Linked DNA regions of Drosophila melanogaster. The protein of the gene in region 1 interacts with the protein of each later gene in a pairwise test. Each region holds a gene or a part of one and is shown on either strand. Other genes may lie near its edges.

What was found.
Region 2: the proteins of CG34376 (region 1) and Ssu72 interact in a two-hybrid assay, tested with the Drosophila melanogaster proteins (one large-scale study listed by BioGRID).
Region 3: the proteins of CG34376 (region 1) and CG32647 interact in a two-hybrid assay, tested with the Drosophila melanogaster proteins (one large-scale study listed by BioGRID).
Region 4: the proteins of CG34376 (region 1) and CG15861 interact in a two-hybrid assay, tested with the Drosophila melanogaster proteins (one large-scale study listed by BioGRID).

Annotation. Positions count from the first base shown.
Region 1 is NT_033777.3:22,445,840-22,451,804, reverse strand, and holds the start of CG34376 (uncharacterized protein), read right to left. Parts: upstream 3,707-5,965; 5' UTR 3,390-3,706; coding exon 3,185-3,389; intron 1-3,184. Other genes in the region: CG34288 (uncharacterized protein), read left to right, coding at 4,589-4,604, 4,670-4,833; CG12499 (uncharacterized protein), read left to right, coding at 5,273-5,666, 5,719-5,965.
Region 2 is NC_004354.4:19,662,701-19,668,146, reverse strand, and holds Ssu72 (Ssu72 CTD phosphatase), read right to left. Parts: upstream 3,587-5,446; 5' UTR 3,502-3,586; coding exon 3,275-3,501; intron 3,213-3,274; coding exon 2,954-3,212; intron 2,896-2,953; coding exon 2,794-2,895; 3' UTR 1,281-2,793; downstream 1-1,280. Other genes in the region: Zw (zwischenferment), read right to left, coding at 527-545.
Region 3 is NC_004354.4:12,781,313-12,787,076, forward strand, and holds the start of CG32647 (uncharacterized protein), read right to left. Parts: upstream 3,647-5,764; 5' UTR 3,390-3,646; intron 3,211-3,389; exon of another isoform or gene 3,150-3,210; intron 2,278-3,149; 5' UTR 2,123-2,277; coding exon 1,777-2,122; intron 1-1,776.
Region 4 is NT_033778.4:24,942,135-24,947,460, reverse strand, and holds CG15861 (uncharacterized protein), read left to right. Parts: upstream 1-2,259; 5' UTR 2,260-2,501; intron 2,502-2,606; 5' UTR 2,607-3,038; coding exon 3,039-3,442; intron 3,443-3,527; coding exon 3,528-3,638; intron 3,639-3,695; coding exon 3,696-3,798; 3' UTR 3,799-4,069; downstream 4,070-5,326. Other genes in the region: CG2790 (uncharacterized protein), read left to right, coding at 1-791; CG3770 (uncharacterized protein), read right to left, coding at 936-1,078, 1,129-1,242, 1,298-1,700; Tina-1 (troponin C-akin-1), read left to right, coding at 5,197-5,211.

The DNA.
Region 1 (5,965 bases):
TTAAAAATAAATTATTTCGTTTGCCCACCCTTTAAAATTTGTTTTTTTCGTTTGCCCACTCTTAAAACTAAATAATTTCGATTGCCCACCTTTTAAAACTAAATAATTTCGTTTGCCCATCCTTTAAAATTCATTTTTAACGTTTGCCCACCCTTTAAAAATAAATTATTTCGTTTGCCCACCCTTTAAAATTTGTTTTTTTCGTTTGCCCACTCTTAAAACTAAATAATTTCGAAAATATTTTATTCCAGAATTTTCTTGAGCTTGGAGAGTGTTGATAAACATACATACATTTTTTTGCATATATATTATATTGCAATATAAAATATTTTCCATGAAATGAAACAATGATTAAGAAAAATTGATGTTACAATTCATGAATGATTAACACTATGGATATATTGAAAATGTATGTAAATATGTAAATAACTGTTCTTTTGTAAGTAACTGTGCTTTTGACGCCACATCTTACAATTATTACATACATATGTACAAATTTATTTTTAATAGGTGAAAAATCGAAAAAACCATTTTTAAGAGGTGGGCAAACGAAAAAAACAAATTTTAAAGGGTGGGCAAACGAAATAATTTATTTTTAAAGGGTGGGCAAACGTTAAAAATGAATTTTAAAGGATGGGCAAACGAAATTATTTAGTTTTAAAAGGTGGGCAATCGAAATTATTTAGTTTTAAATGGTGGGCAAACTTTTTTTATTGGAAATTTTTATTTTAAAGAGGTTGGCTAAGGAAATTGGTTGTATTTTAAATGTGGGCAATCGAAAAAAAATTTTTGTTAAAGGTTTTTTAAAGGGTGGGCAAACGATAAAAACTAATAATAATTGTTGGGCAAACGTTTTTTGTTGATAATATTTGGTTTTAAGAGATGGGCAAACGATTTACTCTCTGATTAGACCGAGGTAAACTTAAAAGCCTTATATTTTCTAAAGTATACATTTTTTCAAAATTCTAAAGGGTGGGCAAACGTGGGCAAACGATGTTATTGCGATTTAAAAAAAAAAAATTTTGAAAAAAGCGAAATTTTTGATTTTCGAAAATTTTCGAACTTTTTCGAAAATTCATATCTCAAAAACTGGACGTGGGCAAAAAAAACTAATTGGTGGGCAAACATGGGCAAAAAATGGGCAAACGATTCCAGCTTTCAAATTTCAAAAATTCGATTTTTCCGACCCCAGCTTCTTTGAGCTATGTCCGTCTTGTTTATGCCAATAATAAATAGATAATTTTGGAGGATTAGCATTGTATTGGGGACTGTGACTGTTGGCCAGATATAACCACTTGGAACGGCACAGTGTGGATTGATTTACACGTCCGGAGCAGCGGAAACACGTATATATGTTGCGAGGCTCTCTAATCAATATCTCGACTAAACTAAATTCTTCGAGTGGCTGTAAGGGTGAAGGAGTGGGCGGGCGGGCACTCAGTTACTCAGTTGGGCAATAAATGATTGTTAAACGCGATAAAAAGATAAAAAATATTTCGACTATTGTTGTTGTTTCTGCGTGTTACACACGGAACAAACACATAGCCATTTGGCTTGTTAGCACCTCGATGACTGTTGTTGGCTGGGCTGGTCTACATTTAATAGCTTGCCCCCGCTTGGGTTCGCCGTTATTTATAGGGTATATTAATATTCTTTATCTTTGGAAATACCTCTTGTAGCAGCGTTTGTGGGTAGGTAGCACCTTCCTGCAGCTACTTGAAAAGATAAAACCTTATTTTTTATGGCCGCCTGATCAGATAAAGCCACCGTGCAGCAGGCAGCCGTGTTCAACACGACTGCGAACGAAATCGGAATCGTACCGACCAGGAGGGGCCGCGGCGATATCATATCCATACACCATATAGCGTACATAAATAGTAGTACACCACCGTTCTAGAGTCCATTTGAAGTACATTTGATGAGGTCAGCAACGCACCCAATCTCCCCGATCCGATCGAAGTGGGCTGCGGCTCCGACTCTGCGCTCTCTTGCCATGGACCTTATCACGATACTCCCTCCGCCGGTGGATACTCCGTGCGTGGCGTGGGTAAACAATCCCGGTGTGCCTCCGGAGGCGGAGGACTCCGGCAGCTACCACACAGGCATAGACAACGCGGCGGCACTCCGGCTCACCGGAGGATTATCACCAGACCTCGATTCTTAGTGGGTTGCTGCTGTTTGTCTTTAGATTTACGACTCTACAGTCAAACTTCACTAACTGGAACATGAATCAGAAACGGACAGATATTACGAATTGGATTATATTACCCTGAATTGGATTAGTAAATCAAATCGGTTATCAAATGATTACAGTTCATTACAAAGTCTTTAGATAACTGTAGGCTGGATAAACCTTAATGCATTTGCATAAACGATTTATAATCTTCCTAATATCGCTGCACTACTTAATTTTAATGGGCGATCCATCAAACGACTAACAATATTATTCGATTGATTACTTTGTATGCTAAAAAAAAGGCAAGTTAGGCTTATGAAATAAAGTGTAAAGTTAATAGGGCGGGTATAGTTGGATTTATGGTAGCGATACTGTAAAGACAGACGTAGTCGTGCTGGGACGCTCGTCTGGAACTCGGAATCGAACTGGCGGTGGAGCTGGGCTGATAACCACCGAATGTGTCATGGAATTTAACACAAAGGTTGATTTATATCTAAGCGTTTGACAAGAGTGATGAACAGACAGGCTGACGGGCGGGCTCCTCGATAAACTGACACCGCTGTCCCAGTGATAAACTGACCGATTTCTGGGGGAATATGCTTGACCAAGTAACCAGCAGTCACTCTTCCCTGGCATTATACAGACTATGTATGTATGTGAAGGGTATGAAATAGCCCAGCGAATAGTCAGACTCTTTTCCGGCTTATTAAAATTCCAAGAAAATATGTCTACAATGTATTTGCAATGCCAAGAGCCAAGCAATTTGTAAGAAACCCGAATCCTTCAGTTACGCACTCAATGTTCCATTAGGATCATCCATATGCATGGCAACGAAAGCTCGGAACATTAAACTTGACCAATTTCTGGAAGACCACTTCCGTGCCCAGTATCAAAATACACATATAAATGCCGCGCTGACAATGTAAGCCACGCTGCATAACTTAGCATTTAAACCGGGGACGCCGGCGATGGGGCCGCAATCTTGTGCTGCCTAATCGGTGTACTCACTGATGGGATGCTTGCAGGGATTGGTAGTGAATATCTCCTGGAAGTAGGGGCTGCAGATAGCCAGCACTATCTTGTGGGCATGGAGGAGCTTTCCATCGCAGGCGAGGGTCACGTCCACCAGGTCGCCGCGGTCGTACAAATTCTGGAAGCCGCTGGCTATGTTGTCCTGGAAGTTCTTCCAGCACAGCTTAAACTCGTCGTCCATCGCGGATGCGGATGCTCGCCGAAAACCAGACTTTTCCAATTCCAATTGGGGAGCGTAATTTATGCGCACAGACTTTTGCGATGATTCTCGTGCGAATCTGTTTTTTATGGCTTTTGTTTATCCGCTTTGCTCGTGATTCGTTCACGGGCCAAAAATCGCAATTCACGTATTCTCGCGCACCTTTATTTTTATTATATCAAGGGTTCGAATTTGATAAACTAGCTACCAACTACTCGATCCGCATTCACGCGCACACGATCTCGAGTCGTTCGCGTCCACGGGCGCATTGATTTTGATTTGGGCTCTAATTAACACAGTGTGATTTAAACATTTTTATCGGAAAGCGTGAAAAGCAGCGACGCTGTTTACGTTCCGGCTGATAATGAACGCACCACCCCCCCGCACTTTGAGGAACAGTGAAATGTTGGTTTTTTAGGCGCCACAGCGAACGGTCTCACTGGCCACTGGTAAACAAACGAAAATGTTTGCTGAACTTTAATTCCAGCTATAAAAATTTGATTAACAATCAAAACTGTTATCACAAAGAAAAACGTTAGAGAGGAATGAAATTCTGGGATTTTATACAGAAATAATAATTCTAAAGAGATTATAAATCCTGCAAATATATATTTTTGTAAAATGTATGTTAACTACTAATTTGTTAAAAATGTTCGCAATTACTACGTAAATTGCTTGAATTGTCAAATGCTTCTAAGCGTTTTTGAAATCTGGCCCACAAGAGCGGAATTTTCAATCGATAGCCTTTTCGATAAACGATATCATAACGACAATTGAATATTTAGCGCCAATTAGAGAGCATTGAAAACGTTTTCCCCTGATAAGAGCTTATCGCAATTGGTTTGTTGGTCGCTTCGTTGCGGTTATATCCGACCGGCATTGTCCGCTTTTATCACAGTTCTACGGTTCTTTGCACGATGCTAATACGGCCGATGGGGAACTACACTGTTGATAGCAGACCTACCCATGGTGTCATAAATAACCCACTTTACATTTTAAACAAAAAGAGAATAAAAGTAACAGCAGGGCTTATCAATTAGCCATGAGTCGTTTGTACGCCTCAGGTGCACACATACGCACCCAGTCAATTGGCCACCGATTTGATTTGCCCGATTTAGTGCTCAAAGAACTTTCAGCAAATTAGCCCACTCGTCCCGAGAATCAGTAAAGAGTATACCATAATGGGTTGTTGTTTTGGTAAGTGATTTGCAGCTATCTTCAGAAGGCAATAACAGCGACTAATAATAGTTGTGTACTTGCAGGCAAAAGTAAATCAGTCGATTTGCCCGCGGTTCCGCCGGCTCCAGCCAAACAACGCTCCACTCTGCCAGAATTCCCGATTTCTGGATCGGTGACTAGCACGGCTCCTGCAGGATCTGGATATGGATCTGGAGGAGCCACCAATGCGGCCCTCGAGGATGACTAGACGTGGTTAAAGGAACAGAAAAAACGTTCACGTCCAGGGAAAACTGTAAATTTGCCAAATGGCAGATTGGATTATGAGTCATTCCGTGCCGAGATGTGGTTTTTTCAAAGTTGTGCACCCTTTGTAGTTAGTATTGTAGTAAAATACGTTGTTTATTGTTGGAGAGTATAAAATTGTTGGTAAATTAAATCATAACTTTAATCTCTTTGAATAAGTTGCTGTTCTGTTTTTTTTCCTGTTTCGCCAGTTTATATTTTAGCGCGCCAAGTGTCGCCCTATACAACACTGAAACAAGGGCGGTATTTTTCGGTATTTTAAAAAGGGTCATACCATTCTCTGCCAGCACGTGTGTGCGGCTGTTTTTGTGTTTAACTTAAATTTTAAACGATTTATGCTGTAAATAGGCAAATATAATTTATAATATTATTATTAAAGCAAAATGGCCATTCAACCCAATCGAAGAAAGAGAAGGCACGAGGAGACAACTGCTGAGCAAGAGGATGAAGGTGAAGTGGAGGTGCCCAAAAAACTGGCCAAGGAGTCCGACACACCGAAGAAAAAGAAAAAGAAGGATAAAACTAAGGAATCATTCGATGAATCCACGCTGGAAAGCACTGAAACCGATCCTGCTGACTCCACTCCATCAAAGAAGAAGTCTAAAAAGACAAAGACATCCGACACAAGTGTAGAACAACAGGTGGAAGTGGAGATGGCTGAGGATGAAATAAGTCGCGATTCCGGGATTGATCCCGAAGAATCCCGCATACACTTTCCCAACGACTTTAAGATGATGCACTTTCGAACCAAGCTTCGCGGCAATAACTTCATAACAGGTGGGTTAATACGTTCAATAAAAGATCGCTAACTCACGAATCCCAATTCCAGAACTGCGACACTTCCTGCACATGTGCTCAACCACGCGTCCTAAGCTTGCGGCTAAGTACATAGAAAAGCGTGGAAAGCCCTTGGAGTTAGCAGAAGCATTCGAAAGGATCGATAAGACTAATTTATTTCACGTGGACTACCTCACAGAGGCTTTGCACCGAGTTTTGATGGAAATACTTACCAACCAGAAGAGCCACATGGAGTCGGCTGTCCACGGGTGTAGATATTTTCTCAAGGTTCACGGAGG
Region 2 (5,446 bases), on another chromosome or scaffold:
CCGGGTTCTAATCTTGGAGCACGCAGCGAGTGTTTGTTTTAGCTGGCCGCTCGGATCCAAGCCCGTCCGATGGCCAAGAGCGGCGCCCACACGTCATCGCTCGGCTGGATGGGTAGTTGGGGGAGTGAGTAGTAGGCGTGGAGGAGTGAGAGTAAGAGTGACAGGTGGAGAGTGGCCAGTGGTAGTGGAGAGTGGAAGTATGAAAGTATGATAGAGAGCGGTGCGGGTGCGGGAGCGGAGCAGCGGTGTGGCCTCTCCTGTGATAAGAAGACAGTCGGCCGAGTCCGCGTCCTCTGCTTTTTGTAGGTGACCCCCAGTGCCAGGCGAAGAGCACATTTGAAGGGCGCACTGGCACGGGCACTGGCACTGGCACTGGCTCTCGCACTCGCAATCGGATTCCGATTGGAAAGCCAGTCCACCTGGCGCGACAGTGATCGCGGCAAGTACGCGCCCGAAAATCGAATTGGTAACAGTACGCGGTGTGGAATCCAATTCGATACCAATTGCCCAAAGCTGCGATACTCACCTTCCTTTTGCGTTGCCATCTTGACCCGAATGTGAATGGATTTTTCTGTTTAAAAGCAAAAGTGTGACAACTATGTATACGCAAGCCTTTCGATTCGGATTTCCAACTCGATATACGATTTCTCCAGTCGCTGGATTTTGAGCAACCTCTGCGGCTCTGGCTGTGTAATTACAAAGAGTTGCGGCGCTTTAATCGCACGCGCAGGTCGTCGTCGTCGGATTCACTAACTAGTAGCGCAAACGTAAAACAAAGCGAGTACGGGTACGGAGTCGCGAAGCCTCGGTGGAAGCGGTAGTAGTAATGAAGATAAGCACGATCGTTCCCTGACTGACTGAAGCGCGGCGCGAACCGCCGCAGCAAACAAACGCCCAAGCAAGCACTGCCAATGGCAACAACACCAACACACCAGCAACAACAGCTAAAGCAGCAGACGCTTTGTAACCCCGACTGCGCAGCTGATCGCAGACAGGAGCGGATTCAGTGCGCGCGGGGGCCCATTCGATCTGGATTTACATGTGAATGGAATTGATGGATAACACATAAATATACAAATAATACGATATCATAGTATAACATGGAAATAAAACTGTTTAATCTGAGAGCATTGATCTGATGCGTTGATGAGTTTAATGATGAAATTATGCTAGAATTATGATTCCCACATTACTAAACAACACCCTTACAATTTCTAATCCTACCTAGAATCACGTCGTATTTGGTCAGTGAAAACGAGCAAACGTCAACATTTCTTTTTAGAGTTTAAATCATTTATTATTATTCATTAGTCAGTAGGAATCGATCAGTTCCTTCTGAAGTTAACCTAATGTGTAGCTTAAAAGATATTATGGATTCTGTTCCTTAATTATAGTGTATACAAATGTACCGAGGAGAGATTATGCTATATTACGTGTAAGGAGTTCATGGGGATGTATTCTCTTCAGACATCGGAGGGAAATAGGGTCGACAAGATCATTCGCTAACGTGTTTAAGTGGGCGCTAAGTCTGTCGGCATATCGGCTGCTATGGAAGTTTATTTGGTACCCCAATGGGACACCTTTTAAGTCCCCTTCAATAACTCTATTGCTCACATACCACATGTAGCCCAGATGCATGTCGTGCCGCTCCCGATTGTCTTACTCTAATACTCTGTTCCCCACACTTGGATATGGCTTTTATTAAGAGAGCCTTAGTTGCCATATGGAGTTTGCTTGAGTGGAAAACCCAGTCCAGCTTTTTCAGTTTCCAGGAGCCGTGATAAGGGCTTTCCAACTCAGCGTCCGATCAAGGTGAACTCCGAGGTAGCAGTGGGATGAGACGTAATCAATGGTATTTCCGTCGAAGAGAAGACCTAGGCAGGTTTGAGGTCGCAGGGTAAATGTGACACAGGCCGTCAACAAGAAACCGGCATAAATTGGCGTGCACTTTTATTCCAATCCTTAGTGAACACAACTCCCCTGTTGTTTATTTTCTATTGCAAGCTAGCGCCCGTTGCGGGCCTTTGCCTTTGGTTTAAAACGCACAGCCCCAACCAAGGTCGGTCGGGTTTGCCCTGTCTGAACAATTGGTAAAACTGTGTAAAATTAAAAAACGCGGCCCCTGCCCGCGAGGGCCCAGACCGTTCCGCCCCTGTGTGGCTCTCTGGCGTGCATGCTCATTCACACAATCACGATGCGAGATTTCACTTTATGTGAATCGAATCCGAATCTGAGTCCGAATCGGACTCAAAGCCGGGCGAAGAGAGCGGCAGAGCGGCCGAACGGGAGAACGGGTCGGAGTCAGATGGTCGGCGCCTTCGCCAGCTGAGGGAAGCGAGAGCCTGTGATAAGACCCCCAGTCGACGGGCGAAATTACAAGGAATACGGACACGTACACATACTACTACAGGGGTTTTGGGGGGCAGCCGTGTGGAAATGGTCGTCATTGGTTGTGTGTTATATTCCAATTCATTAGCCAGTTGCTTGCATGTGTGGTGTTGATGTGGATTACGAATCAGGTGTTTGGAGTATGCGAGTGTGTGGGTGCTGGTCGTTGTTGGATGTGCTTTCGCTGCAGCGATGGCCCCTCTCTATTTACAGTATTCTTATATGCTAGGCTACCAATCCGGAACCCAGGATCCGCACGCGCTGCGCGCAATGCCCGACGTCCTATGCTCTGCGATCGCAGCCCCTGGGGTACAAGATCGAGTGACTCGGCTGGAGCGCGTCGGGGCTACGGGAGTCTGGTGTTGGTGCTGGAGCTGGACACGAACTGTTAGCAGACGTCGGTCGTCAGTAGAAGAGCACCGAGTGCAGGATGACCCGCTTGCGGCGCTCCTCGAACTCCTGGATCAATTCGTCGATGTCGTTGTCCAGGTCCGTGGACTTGGCCATCTGCAAAGGCACAAGAATCGTTGGGCGAATTGAGGGAATGGACGACAGATGATCATACCATGTTTATCATGTCTGTGATGACAAAGGCGCCCATTAGCGCATCTTCAGCGTTGTCCACCACATCCACGTTGAGAACGTGCACGGGTCGGTTGTCCACGGATTCCATGGACTCCATGTGCATCACCACCAGGTCGTAGACGCGCTCTTCCACAGTGACGATGATGTCGAACTGCTCTTTGGTGTCCTGAAACCGTTCCGGGCACTTCTTTATGCGACGATTGCGGTCGAGCATGTGTAGCAGGCCGTTCTGTGTGTAGCTGTAAACAGGACGAAAGGGCAGGGATTAGCCAACGGTAGGCCGGAAAAACGAATAACTCACAACTCCTTGTCCTTGGACTCCAGGTCGCGGTAGATGTCCTCGTATTTGGTGCCAAACTCGTAAACATTCGGCTTGTCGAACGCCATGCCCGGTAGCTTGACGCGCTCGCCGGTGCCGTAGGAGCGCACATTGAAACCCTTCTTGGCCAGAAAGTTGTGCGCCTCCATTGAGCGATTCATGTTCGAGGAACAGACTACGGCGACGGCGAGCTTGCTAGGATCAGTCATGTCTCTTTCTCTTTGGCAGTGCGTTGCAATCGCAGTCGTCGAAAAATATGTTCATCAAATTGGAGATGGGATGGCAAAACCACGAGCACGAATATCGATACGATATATTCACGAACATACATTTAACGTGTTAATCTGAAAACACGCGATTTAAAAAATTCTGCAGTGTTTAATTGAACACGTTGACTTCACGTTCAAAATATTCAAAAAACCTAAAAAAAATATACGTTATAACAACTGATAATTAGTACGGAATATTTAAAACTAATTATGTAAAAGCCTCGAGTTTTTGAAACATTTTTGGCCAAACAAATACATAACATACATAGCTACTTAACATAATTAAAGTTCGAGGAGTCCTGCAGCATTAAATATGATCAAACTAACAGCTGGCAATTACCTATCGTAATGTCTTAAAACGTATTTATAATCCTGCAACTTGTATAAAATGAAATATCTCATACTACCCTTAGCATAAAAAAGGGCTCCCCCTGGTTAATATCAATGTTATATCGAATAATTCCAATTTATTAAATCTATTTTAAATTCGAAATATTTTTCTGGACTCCAGCTCCACTACTATTGACACTTTCAACTAGTTATATCGATTTCTTGCCGCCAGTTTACGAACTTTTCAACACTGTCGACCAGTTCGACGCAGTCTGGCAGCGTTGGCGGTCAATTCTTATTTTTGAATCCAACCGAAGTGAATTTGGATACGAAAAGCGCCAAAACTGAGTTAATCTAACTATAAGTGAATTTTGTTACTAAAGCGCGAATTTGAACTTGAATTGAAAGCGGCTTGCAACACCCAATGGCGAATTTCGCCGTCCCAAGCGCATAGGCAACCGCAGTAGTAACCGACAACAACCTTTCAGTTTGGAGCTCGTGGAATGCGGCTGAGCAACTTGGAGCCGTTGCCTCCATTCTTTACCTGTGTGTGGAGTGAGGCAGGAGGACTAGAAGCACCATCGCCACCAGCGGCACCACAACCAGCAGCAGCAGCAGCCGCCGCATCGCGTGTGTTGTGAGTTAAGCAGGTTTGCGGCACAGTGGGTCGCATTGCTTGGCACTTGCGACAATATCAAAACAACCGTTTCTCCCCTTTCCAAACAATTAACAGATTGAAAAGCGTCTAAACTTCTTTTCACCTTTTGCTAACAAAAACCTATTTCAAAAAATATTCCCATTGAACCCAATGCCACGTCATTCTTGCTTGATAATTTAAAATAACCTTTATTTGTTTATTTTATATTAAACCGTAATTGTAGCGTCTTTGGGCCAAAAACATTTTAAAGTAAGCTTATTGTATATCATTTTATATTATACTTTGACAAAAGTGACACAACACAATTCATATACGTTTTGGATATCATTATACGGGAATAACATTGGGACAAATCTTGTAGAAAAAACAAAAAATATTTGTGCTAAAAAGCTACCATTTTGGCCATGATGTTCCACTGTGCAAAGCGGCGTTTGGAGCTGGAATTGATATTGGAATTGGCTCGTTCCACTGCTCACCTGTCCGTGTGAGCAGCGTGTGCATGAGTGGGTGAGGTGAGAGGAAGAGACAGAGACACACAGCGAGAGCGAGAGAGAGAGGGAGAGAGGACCCAACTGGTTGGTCGAATAGCTGCCGGCAGTACCGAAGTTCCTGAGATCCAATATTAGTCGTACTTTGTCACTCGATCGGTCAGGGCGTCGTTGTAGCCTTCGTTGTCGTCCACTTGCCGCCAAATCGGAACGCCTGCTGGCGGTGCTTGGTTATTGGGATTGGGATTGGACATCGCGTTCGGTGCGGGTGAGGGAGGGGAGCAGGCGGCGGAGGAAATAGCTCCCGCGGCATTTGCCACCGCGCTATATCGATCCGCCAATTAGGGAGTGGAATCCGGCGCTTTCTTCGCTGGACAACGACCATGTAAAGGTCACAGGTCAAGAACGG
Region 3 (5,764 bases), on another chromosome or scaffold:
TAAATATATACCTATCATGATATATATATATACATATATATTTATTATGTGGAACAATTGCGATACATGGCATCAAAAAAGTGGAATTTAAAGTGTTTAAATTGAATTTTTCCAACCAATTTTTCAATATATTTTACCCCTGCTTCTGAGCTGGGCTCATCTTAACCCATTGACGTCCACGATGGCCATCATGTAATTAATTAGAGAATGCCATAGAAACCCTCATGATTGATGGGGTATATATTGTACGATATCAATCTCACTTGAGTTAACCATCAGCACTTGAGAGCCACCAGCCAGATGTTCCAGTTTCTTCTATTCTTCTAAGCTTTCCGTTCTAACATTCAAATTGTGTGTAACCAAAGTGGTTTCTGGGTTTCGGAAACGAGGGTTAAAACCGTCGTGTTCGTTGCATGTGCAAAGTCAAGGTTGTAGCCAACTTACTAACAACTCAAACTCACTCGATAGAAAGAACACATACACGGCTAGAAAAGAAACAGTAGCTACAAAGCGAATTTTAGCGAATATTTAACTTGTTTTCCAATTTATGTGGATCATTGATATATCTTTAAAAAAACAGCAAATTTATAAAGAGAGTTCTTTGAATATCACAAAATCATAGATGGAAAATGCCTAAAATTGTGGTATTCAATAATTTCCCTTTTTCCCCACTGCATTTGTACCCTTTCTGGCAATCTCAAGACTTTTCTCATTCCGCTGGCAATTGTTTATGGCTCGGCTCCGACTGGCACATAAAAGAAAAACAGAATCATCAAATTTGATTGAGCACTAGCTAGGTGGAGTACAGTAGGCATTCGATTCAATGGATCAGGTGTACTTTTAGATATACATATATTCTAATATTTATTTTTTATATTTCCTTTCTTTTTCGAAATTTAGCCTGCTCATTGAAATGAATTATTAACTTGCTTATTTTTGGCAAGCTAAATTATTGATCAGCTGGCCTTTGCAGCTATTATTTGTGTTTTACTTTTTTTTTTGCTAGCAAAACTATTGATTGAAAAACACAAGAGAGATATATGTTGCTTGTAGTTAACAAATGCGTTTACATTAAGACCGCTGAATAATTGATTTTGAAACTCAGGAGATTCATTGAGTTTTTTTTTCTCATTTAAATCCATAACAAATTGACTTTAAGTGCTGACATTAAGGCAACTGCATTATTGATTTTAAATAACTGGGGATCTCTTTGGACGAATATACACTGTAATAGGCAGATTTATTGCCGACTCACCGGCGCCTTAGAAATTGGAGTGTTTGCAACCTTCGATATATGCAAATTTCGCAGGAGAAAAAAAAAGGGAAAATATTCAAGCGAAGGCAGGCTGACATTGTTATGGGAGCATTTCTGACAGTTTCATTTCCTCTTTCTTTATTTTTTTTTTAATTTCTATGTAGCTTCCTACAACAAAATTCATTTTGTGCAAAACGAAAAGCGGAACGCAAATGTTATTCCTGGATAATCGCGTCATTAGAGGGCATTAAAACTGATTCGACGAAGCGGTGCTAACGAAGAAATGCAAATGTGTTCATTAGTTTCTTCTGTCGTGGGCATATGTGTCGGATACGTGATATAGCCAAATATATCACTCATACGCACTGGTGACAGCGCGTTGTTGATACGCAGTTGCAGTGTTGCAGTGACTACAACCCCTTAAATACTCAAAGATAATGGACAAATATCTGGCAAGTGTATTGCGGATCCATCATGATTATATCCCTAATTTATAGTGCTATAAATTAAATGCTAATTACCTGTAAAGGGGCTGAGGCAGCCCAGCAGGCATAGGGCCAAAATCAGCTGGGCGAGATAGTCAGTTGGCAGCCAAAGCAACGACGTCATTGGTGGCGGCCACGCCCCCAGTCGACCGGCCGCCTTAAGGCGTTGCAAGTACGATTGTTGCTGTTGCTTTTGCTTTTGCTGCTGCATGTTTCGTATTGCTGCTGTTGTTGTTGTTGTGCAGCAGCCTCGTTGACGTCGCCATGTCGTTTGGGGCCCATTGATTGTTATTGCTTTGGTTGCTGCTGCTGTTTTGATTGGTGTTGCTGCCGCTGTTGTTGTTGCTGTTGCTGTTGCTGCTGCTGCTGCTGCCTTTGTCATTGTCAGGCGTTGATTTTGAACTTGGCGGCGGCGATGGCTGTGGGAGCTGCACTTGCAGCAAATGTTGCTGTTGCAGTTGCCTGGCTTACTTCTTATGTTTGCTGTTGCAATTATCCTTTTTGTACTGCTGCTTCTTCTTGGCCTGTCCTTGCACTCTGTGTGCGTGTGTGTTTCGGTGTGTGGAGAAAGGTGATATATTATTGGAAACTTCAATCAATTTCATGTTGTAAAACAGTGTCTTAAATGTACTAGTTACAATTCAGTTTTATATTATTTGAATATGGTTGAAAAAAATATCCAAAACAAAGTGTTTGAATGAATGCAATTCCTTTTAGACTGATTTATTGATAGATCGCATAGTTGGCTGCATTTATTAATTGTGTGCCTCAGAGATTTTTGATTGAATTTAGTTGATTTTGTTCGATATAAAATAAAATACCATGCTCTAGTGTTTACATTATATCAGCAAATTCTGCCCACTGTTCTGTTGGCCAAAAAGTTTCTCTGCATTGTGTCGACAGACAGTTTTTGGCAGCAATTTCACCTCTGCCTCTTTGTGTGTGTGTGTGTGTGTTTTTGCGTTTGATGGTGGGCATTTTGCAGGGGGTGGTTGCAGGGGGCGGCGGATCAGCTGTTCGGCAGTTCCGTGTTTGGCAGCCGAATTGCTTGTTTACAAAGCTTCTTGGGGCATTTTCATTTTCATTTTTTTTTGCCATATTTTTTGGCTCTTTGCGGCTGCCAAAAACAGAAAAGTGCACACACACACACACACCCACATACATCCAGTGCTTAATTCGAATCGTGTAATTTATTATTTGCATGTCCTGTGCGCCAAAAGAGAGCGACAAGTTCGAGTTTCACTTCACGCCGTTTTATGGATTTTCTTACAAACACACACTCATACACACACACACACGCACACACAGGGGCACACGCGTACCCGCATTGATTTTCCCTTTTCTATTTCGTTTTTTTTTTGTTTTTTTTTTTTTGCTATTTTTGCTCTTTTCAAGGCTCTGCTACTTACATCTCACGTAAATTGTTTAACTTTGACACCAACAAAATTTCGCACGCAAGCACTAAAAATACTTGAAAAAAAAAAATGAAGGGAAATGTGAAAACAAAACACAGCACGAATTTCCCAGCCAGCGAGCAGCAGTGGCAAGCAGCTAGCCTACACACCAGCCCACCGCGCCCCCTTCCCACGATTTTCCCATTTTCCGAGTCCTTTTTACAACCGACTGTTTGCTGATTGCTTTTTGCCCACCGTCTTTTGTGTTGCCTTTTGTTGATTTTGTTGATTTTTGCTGCTGCCACTACGCTGCTGCTGCTGCTGCTGCTGCTGCTGCAACTGCAACTGCAAGTGTGACGAACCACTCTCTCACTCCCAGTACGCTCTATGCAATCCGGGCAAGATTCCGATTCCGATTCCGATTCGGATTGCGATTCCGATACCGATTCCGATTCCGGTTCTGATTCCGGCCAGAGCCACCGACTGCAGCGTGGGAGAGTCAAGAGCCAACTGACGGCGCGTCGACGAGGCTGCGCCCCAACAAATGTTGCTGGCGTTGGGCGGTAGCAACATCGGCTCGCCACTATAGCAACATTGACGTTCCAACAGCAACATTTCCGTGGACAACACAACGTGTTGTAAGCTTTTGCTCGATTCGAAAGGGTTCATAGCTTTTGGGAAACATTCTTAGTGTTCTTTCGAACCAGCCAAGAGCTTTTTAGTTCTGAATTAGACACATGATTTGATTCCGGTTTTAAGGAGGGCTTGAGCTTTTGCAAAAGCTTAATAGCGTAGCTCAGAAACACAGCACCGGAAATAACGTTAGCTTTCAAAGAGAAAAAATCCCGCCAAGGATCACATTTAAATTAAATAAAAAAGTGAATCTTATGGCTGACTTATGAGTAATAATTCAACAATACAATTTATGTACATGTAATGAAGAATTTTTTATATAAATGGAATTATTTCAACTATAAATTATAACACTAAAAACTGAAAAATGAAGGGAATTCCGAAATTTAAAAATTATTTTGCAAACTTATAAAGATTAATATTTTCAAAATATTCAGCTTTACTCAGCTCTTTGTCCCAATAAAAGCGTACAGAACATTTTTTAATAAGTAGTTTGGAAATGATTTTATTTCAATATATTTCATATTCATTCATTAGTTCATATTTTCTGTTTTATACTTTTACACAAAAATACTTGTGTGTGTGTGTGTGTGTGAGTGTGTCCGTGTGTTCGTGTTTGTCTCGTAGGTTCTTCTATTGGTATTGGTGTGTCCTTGAGTAGTCCTTTGCTATCTCGGTCTGTCTGTCTCTGTGTGTTTATTTTTTTTCTGTATGTATTGTAGTTGTCTTATATGCCATTAATCTGAGTTGGACATAACTAAGTGTTAAATACAAGTTGAGTTATCTCATTTAAATATTTGTTTACCATTTAAATGCATTTTCGGAAAAGTTTCATTGAATTTCTCGCTTCTTAGCTGATTTATTAGTTGTATACCCATGTTGACTTTTCTGTGTGGGTGACTCAGCGATATTTGATTCATTTATTTAGGGGGTGCCAAGAGCTTTTTACATCTAAATCTTTTTAGGCTTGTATATAGGTGTGTATGTATATATATATATATATATATATATATATATATATAATAACTATTACTTCACATCGAATTTGCTCAGCACTTTGTTTTCCTCATGCTCTTTGGTTTGTTTCCATATATATGTATGTATGTATGTTTGTATGTCTATCTCTTGCATGAACTGTTTAAATTGCCATTGAGTGGTGAGGGATATTATCTGTGGGTGGCGAATTTCTTTTACTTCTTGAATTTAATTTAATTTACACACAAATCTTGCTCTTCTGCTGAGATAATATTTCCCGATCCCTATTACTCGATCATCGTAAAGAATTCAACTACTTTTGGGTTGTGTGTCTTCAGTATTTTGTATTTAAGGTATGTGGCTTGCTGGCGATCTGATCTCTGTTTTTTTTTACTTACAAATTATAACTATTTGTATGTATATATTTATGATTCTAGTTGGTATGTGTGTGTATATATATGTGTATGTATATATCCATTTCTATTCATTGACATAAAATTTGAAAATATACTATATAACTTGTTGATGCCCCTGCAAATGATAGTTTTTGAGGATCTTTTCGGGTTTTCGCTATCTAGCAAGGGTATCTCCAGTACTTCTGCCTTTTTCTCGTTCTTTTCACTTTTAAAAAGTCTTGCAACATGGGAGGTGACCAAAAAAAAAAATAACCGTTCCAGTACACTGAAGAGCAAGCGGCCAGGCTTATATGTATATATAATAGATCTTTTCTTAGTTCATATGTGTGTGTGGGCATTGAAAGAGCATCTAAACTTCGGCCTGCCGAAGAATGCTGTTCAAGGATCTCTCTCTCTTACTTTCTTCTTAAAATTTCGATTAAAGATCTCGATTCGCTTATTTTTGTATATTAAAATTGTAGTCTTCGTATTTTTTGTGTGTGTTTTCTTGGAGTAAAGGCTTTGTCAGTTGTTCAGGAGGGTCACTAGTAATTACACATATATAAGTTGCATTTTTGTTTTGTAGCAGTAACGTTTTTTTTTTTTTTTTACCAAGTTTAGATGGCG
Region 4 (5,326 bases), on another chromosome or scaffold:
CAGAAGATTACACGGATGAAGACGAGAACGACGACGATGGCGAGGACTTTGACCATGAAGGCGGCCAGGAAGCCGAGGAGTACGAAGTGGAGTATGTAGACGATCTTTACTGCGTGGCATGCAACAAGACATTTAAAAACGCCAAGGCGCGTGCTAATCACGAAGAAAGCAAGAAGCATAATGAAAATGTCGACCGGCTGTGTCAGGAAATGGAGGAAGAAGAGGACGCTTTCCACAATGAACCCCATGAAGACAGTTTAATGGGCGTACAGGAATCGCTGGAAGAATTGCAAGTCTCTGAGGATCAGATATCTTTCGACGGGGTTCCAAGCGAAGAAGAATCTTCGCTAGCCAAACGAACCAAAAAAAACAAAAAGGCAAGGAAGTCAGCTGTCAAGCAAGCGCAGGCGGAAGGCAGTGACGAACCAGATGAGCCAATAGAAAAGAAGGCAATCAAGAGCGAGTCAGAGGATGAAGACTGGAGTAAAGGCAAAAAAGCGAGCAAAAAGAGTAAAAGCAAAAAGACGACGACTAGGAAGGTTAAGCTATTAGAGCAAACTGTTTCGGAACCGAATACAAAGGAGGCAACAGTGGCTCCCAAAAGCGGAGATGAGGACCTCGACCCGACCAAGTCGCAACACACTTGTGTTACCTGTAGGCTTGTCTTTGACTCCAAGAACAAGCTGTTTGCCCACCTAAAGAAGACGAACCATGGTGTCTACATACCTAAGGCAAAGCCTAATGTTGAGGGCAAGCCTCCTGGCAAAGCTAAGGGCAAGCGCAACAAGTAGGGTCGTATAGATATCCACCCACACCTTGTATCTATACTGTAGAATGTTAAAAGTTTATTTATGCTAATGATAAATTTAATTCGAGAATGAAGTTAAGTATGCTCGCTCCAAGTCAGATAGTGTTCTTATTGTATTCAAAGGCAGCTACGGAATACAGACCAGTTTACTGCCCGCCTCCACGCGTCTGCGAACTCGAGTTCGCATATTGGAAGACTCTGCCTTTAGGCTTATACCGGCGGCAGTAAATGTTAGGAGTACCCCAATGATTCCGCAGTAGAATGAAACTCCTGTAAGGATTAAGTTTAGTAAGTTTCTAAGAAAAGTTTCAAAGAATTACCTATGCTACAGTCGGCGGGGTAAAAGGGTTCGGCATCCATGCCGCATAGACGTTGAATCCGGTTCGCTCGCCATCCCATCGGATGCAGAAATAGACCCAACATCATACATATTCCTATAAACAATGCAAACTTAAATGCTGCGAGGATATCACAGTAATGGTTGCTTACCTGCTACGACCTGGGCGCAGGCCGTCATGTTGTGTATGCTCTTGCCACAGGCCGACTGGCGGCAGCAGGTGATCAGGGTCAGGATCACCGTTACAGAGAGTAGACTAAATCCCAGCATGACGAAGAACATTGCCGCTTTCCATTCGTTGGGGTAAACGCTACTGTCCGTGGCCAGTCCGTCCAAGTCGAAGCGGCCGCATTGGAATCCGCCCTCCTGCATGACCTTGCAGCGCGTGTAGATGCCCACCGAGGATTGGTGGTGAGAGCTGGCGGTGGAGTCTGTTCCTTGGGCGGGGCCCACCAGCCACCTGGGCGTGACCAGGGCCACAGCAAAGAGCATGTCGGCCACCAGCGAACAGAGGAACCACACCAGACTGGCGATGGTGATAATAACGTAGCACATTTTGATGCACCAGATTTTTCGGAGTACACAGATTTAGCGATCGACGACGGGCGATCGCAACGCGTCAGCACTTGCCGGATAGATAATAGACTCTAAGCGCTCTTACTTTGTCTGGGCACGCACATCCCACACCCACTTTGCCGTCACCCACCACCACCGTCGCACCACTCGCCACCACCAGCAGCGCGGGGCCAGACCAGAACTTCCTCCCAGCTGACCAGCCCGAAATGGAATTGTTTATTTTATGTTTTCGCCGCTCGCTGTTATGCGGTGCCTTTCTGCCGTCTGTTTTATGTTATTCACCCCACACTCACACGCGAGCGGAGGTTGACTGTGGGATAGGGGGAGCACGAGGGCGAGGGCGAGGCGGTAGACCGCGCAGTCCGCGGCTCTGTCAAGAACAAAATTCGCAGCTGACGTCGAAGCGAAGGGAAATAGAGTCTAGCGGGAAAATAACTCTGCCTCGATGGCGTTTTCGCTAATCCCCCAAGCGGCTGCAGCTATTTGGCAACTTTATTCCACACTCTGGAACTTTGGATCTGAGCTTCTGTTCGCGCAGGCGTGTCTGCTGCCGTTCCTCGCCAGCGTCATCTCTCGCCGACTCCGACCGACCGAATGAATGGAGCCCATTAAAGCCAGCTGCAGTCGCAAACGGAGCCAGGCCCCAATCGGAGCACTGGAAGAAAAGGTTTGGTGCATCAAATCGTAATAATCGAGTTCTAAGTTGGTTTATGCGTTACGTATTTATCGTATAAATTTAAATCAGCCGGAAGAATTTAAGAAACTGAATGACTATGTTTGGTAAGAATGTTTACTTAGAGGAAATAATTAATATAAAATATTGTAATTTAATGAGGAATTTTTTTCGAATGTATTTTGTATATTTTTAAATGTTGATGTTTTCAGTGCCTTATGCAGATGTGGGCGCCGATTTCTCATTGAGAGCGTGGAAATCCAGACATTCCGAATTCAGAATCAGTCCTCGAATAGCTCTCCCTGGCTCTCTGCACACGCGTTCGAGTTGGATCCAATCTGTCGACTCCACCACCACCAACCCCACCATTGCCTCCACCCCCGTTCGGGTGAGTAATGCACGCCGCCGCTTCGATTCGGGCTGATCATGTGCAATTCCGATCGAAACGATCTTCGGTCGAGCGGTTATCAGTTGGCCGAGTGTGTTGGGGGCCATTGCGTCATCCGCACTGTGTTTGTGCACAGTGATCGTGACCGAGGCCGTAATGAGATCCGTACACAAAGTGCGCAGCCTCCGGAAAGCACTTTCACTCTCCCTTTCGTTGCCTGAACCAATCCGCGGCTCATCACTTGCCATTAGCCGAGATGTCGCGCCGGATGGTCTTCCTACAGTTGCTGCTGTGGGCAGTAGTAGAGGGTCACTATTACTACGACTACGGCTACTGGGAGATCAACGAGCCTTCACAGCTTTGCTCCGACTACGAAATGCTGGTGGTCAACACCCGCCAGTGCGTAAGGCGCTGCAACATCGTCTGCCTGAATGGAGTGTGCTTCGAGGACGGATCCTGTCCCTGTGCCGATCAGTATATGGCGGGTAATCCGGATGGTTTGGTGTGTGCCGCAGAGTGCCTCCCCGGGTGCGTGGCGGCAGGTGGCTACTGCGCCGCACCAGATCTCTGTGTGTGCCGTGAGGACAGGCACTACTACTTTGATCCCCTCTCCCAAAAGTGCCGCCACAGGGCTCCCCGTCTGCTGGACCCCTGCCTTGGGTGAGTATGATTCTTGCTCCTCACCTTATCGCTTAGGAAGTGTACATACATACGTATGCGTTTATGTGCCCTTTCTCATTTCCAGGCGCTGCACACATGGCAACTGCTCCTCCGACGGACGGTGCATCTGTGCCCAGGGATACGAGCTAAGGGACAGCCTGCTTCATGGACAGCAATGCATGCCAATCTGTGATCAGTAAGTTTGATTGTCGCTATATCTTTTCGCCACACTTGCCCTAAACTGTACCTCCAGCAACTGCGGACCACGAGCTTACTGCTTCGCTCCTAACTTGTGTGCCTGCCGGCACAAACAGCACCATTATGCTCACAACGGCATCTGCTCCGGGAACTATTGACCTAGAGAGGAGGTTTGACAGCAATGGGGCTGTTTTAGGTCCCGCTGATGTCGTATGGATTTTAATATATGTATTTATTGTTTAGGTTCATGATTATTTATGAATTAAGCTACAAGACTATGTTACTCTTTTTATTGATTTAAAATTTTTATGGAAAGGCAATCTTGTCTTTAGAAACTGTAAGGAATAACATAAAATATAAAAACAGCTTTAATCGCCTCATAAAGTAACCTATAATTTGTCCATATTAAAATACCAACTTCAAAAACGCATTATGCATATGTATTATATCGATTTATCTAACCTGAGGAAATATGAGAAGCACTAACTTTATTGAGTGCTTACCCTTTCATAATGAATGGGCAACAATATACAATATGTAGTTACGCTTGATAGTTCGTATTGAGTCCGAAAACTAAAATGCCTTACCTTTCGCAGGGCACAATTCAGAGAGCGCAGTGAGATTTTGATTTTAAAGAGCGCATGTCAACTGGTTTGGTTTTGGTGTTGTTGTTGCCGCACCCCCTCCCCCACCTATCAACCAATCAATTACAAAGAGACTTTGTTATTGTTTATAACAAATCGGACACATGGAAGTGCAGAATATTACAATATACAGTATACGATTTCCGATCCCCACCGATCAGCAGAGAAACTGAAGAAGACATGCGTACGTGTTCTCCAGAGGCGTCGCCAGCGAACTAAAATGCTGCTAGGGGGGGGTATCATAGAGGGAGCGTGGATCTCAAGAGGGACTTCTGTGCTCAGATGTTATTAGGCCATTGATAATGCCCGAATTTTAGAGTGTTTGTGCTTGCGGGGCCTATAATATTTCGGGTATTTCAACTAACCCACACCCCCCCCCAGAGGATATTTCTTAGATAAAGACCAGTCGGCAGAACCGTCATTTTTAGCTTTGCGCGTGTGGCGTGTTATTGTTTTACTTGTTGTTGTTCCACTAGAGGCGGGCCTCTTGGTCTTGACGACAAGGCACACTGGGCAGAGTCAGTAAACAGGGCAAATAATATTTTCTTCCTTTTTCCAATTTTGATGAAATTGGATATATACCATAATTATTATTTAAGAATTGCTTTTCCACGTAGTGTCGACTAATACTTTCATATGCAATATATTTATATAAGTTGAACCAATAACACGTTGTGACTTTGCTCCACTGTGCCAGAAGCAATAACAACAACAACAGTGGCAGGCGGCAGCACCGTGTCCGCCGACGTTGTTCTCCATCACGATTTAGTTGGAGTTTTGCTGGCCATCGGCGCGGTTGTATCTCTGCTGGAGCTCGTGCACACTATCCTATCCAATCCCGAAGAGCTCTCTCGCCTTTGCTTAGTGCAGCAATTTGCAATTTTAATTATCTGCAGGCGGTTCGACAAGAAAATGGGCCAAGCAAAGGTAAGCTGATTAAGAGTGCAGCACAATGTGAAGCCCACGCACACATGCACACTTTTAGCTTGTGTATACGCATCCCTTATCCTTCGTCCTTGGCAAGTGGGCAGCCCCAAATGGA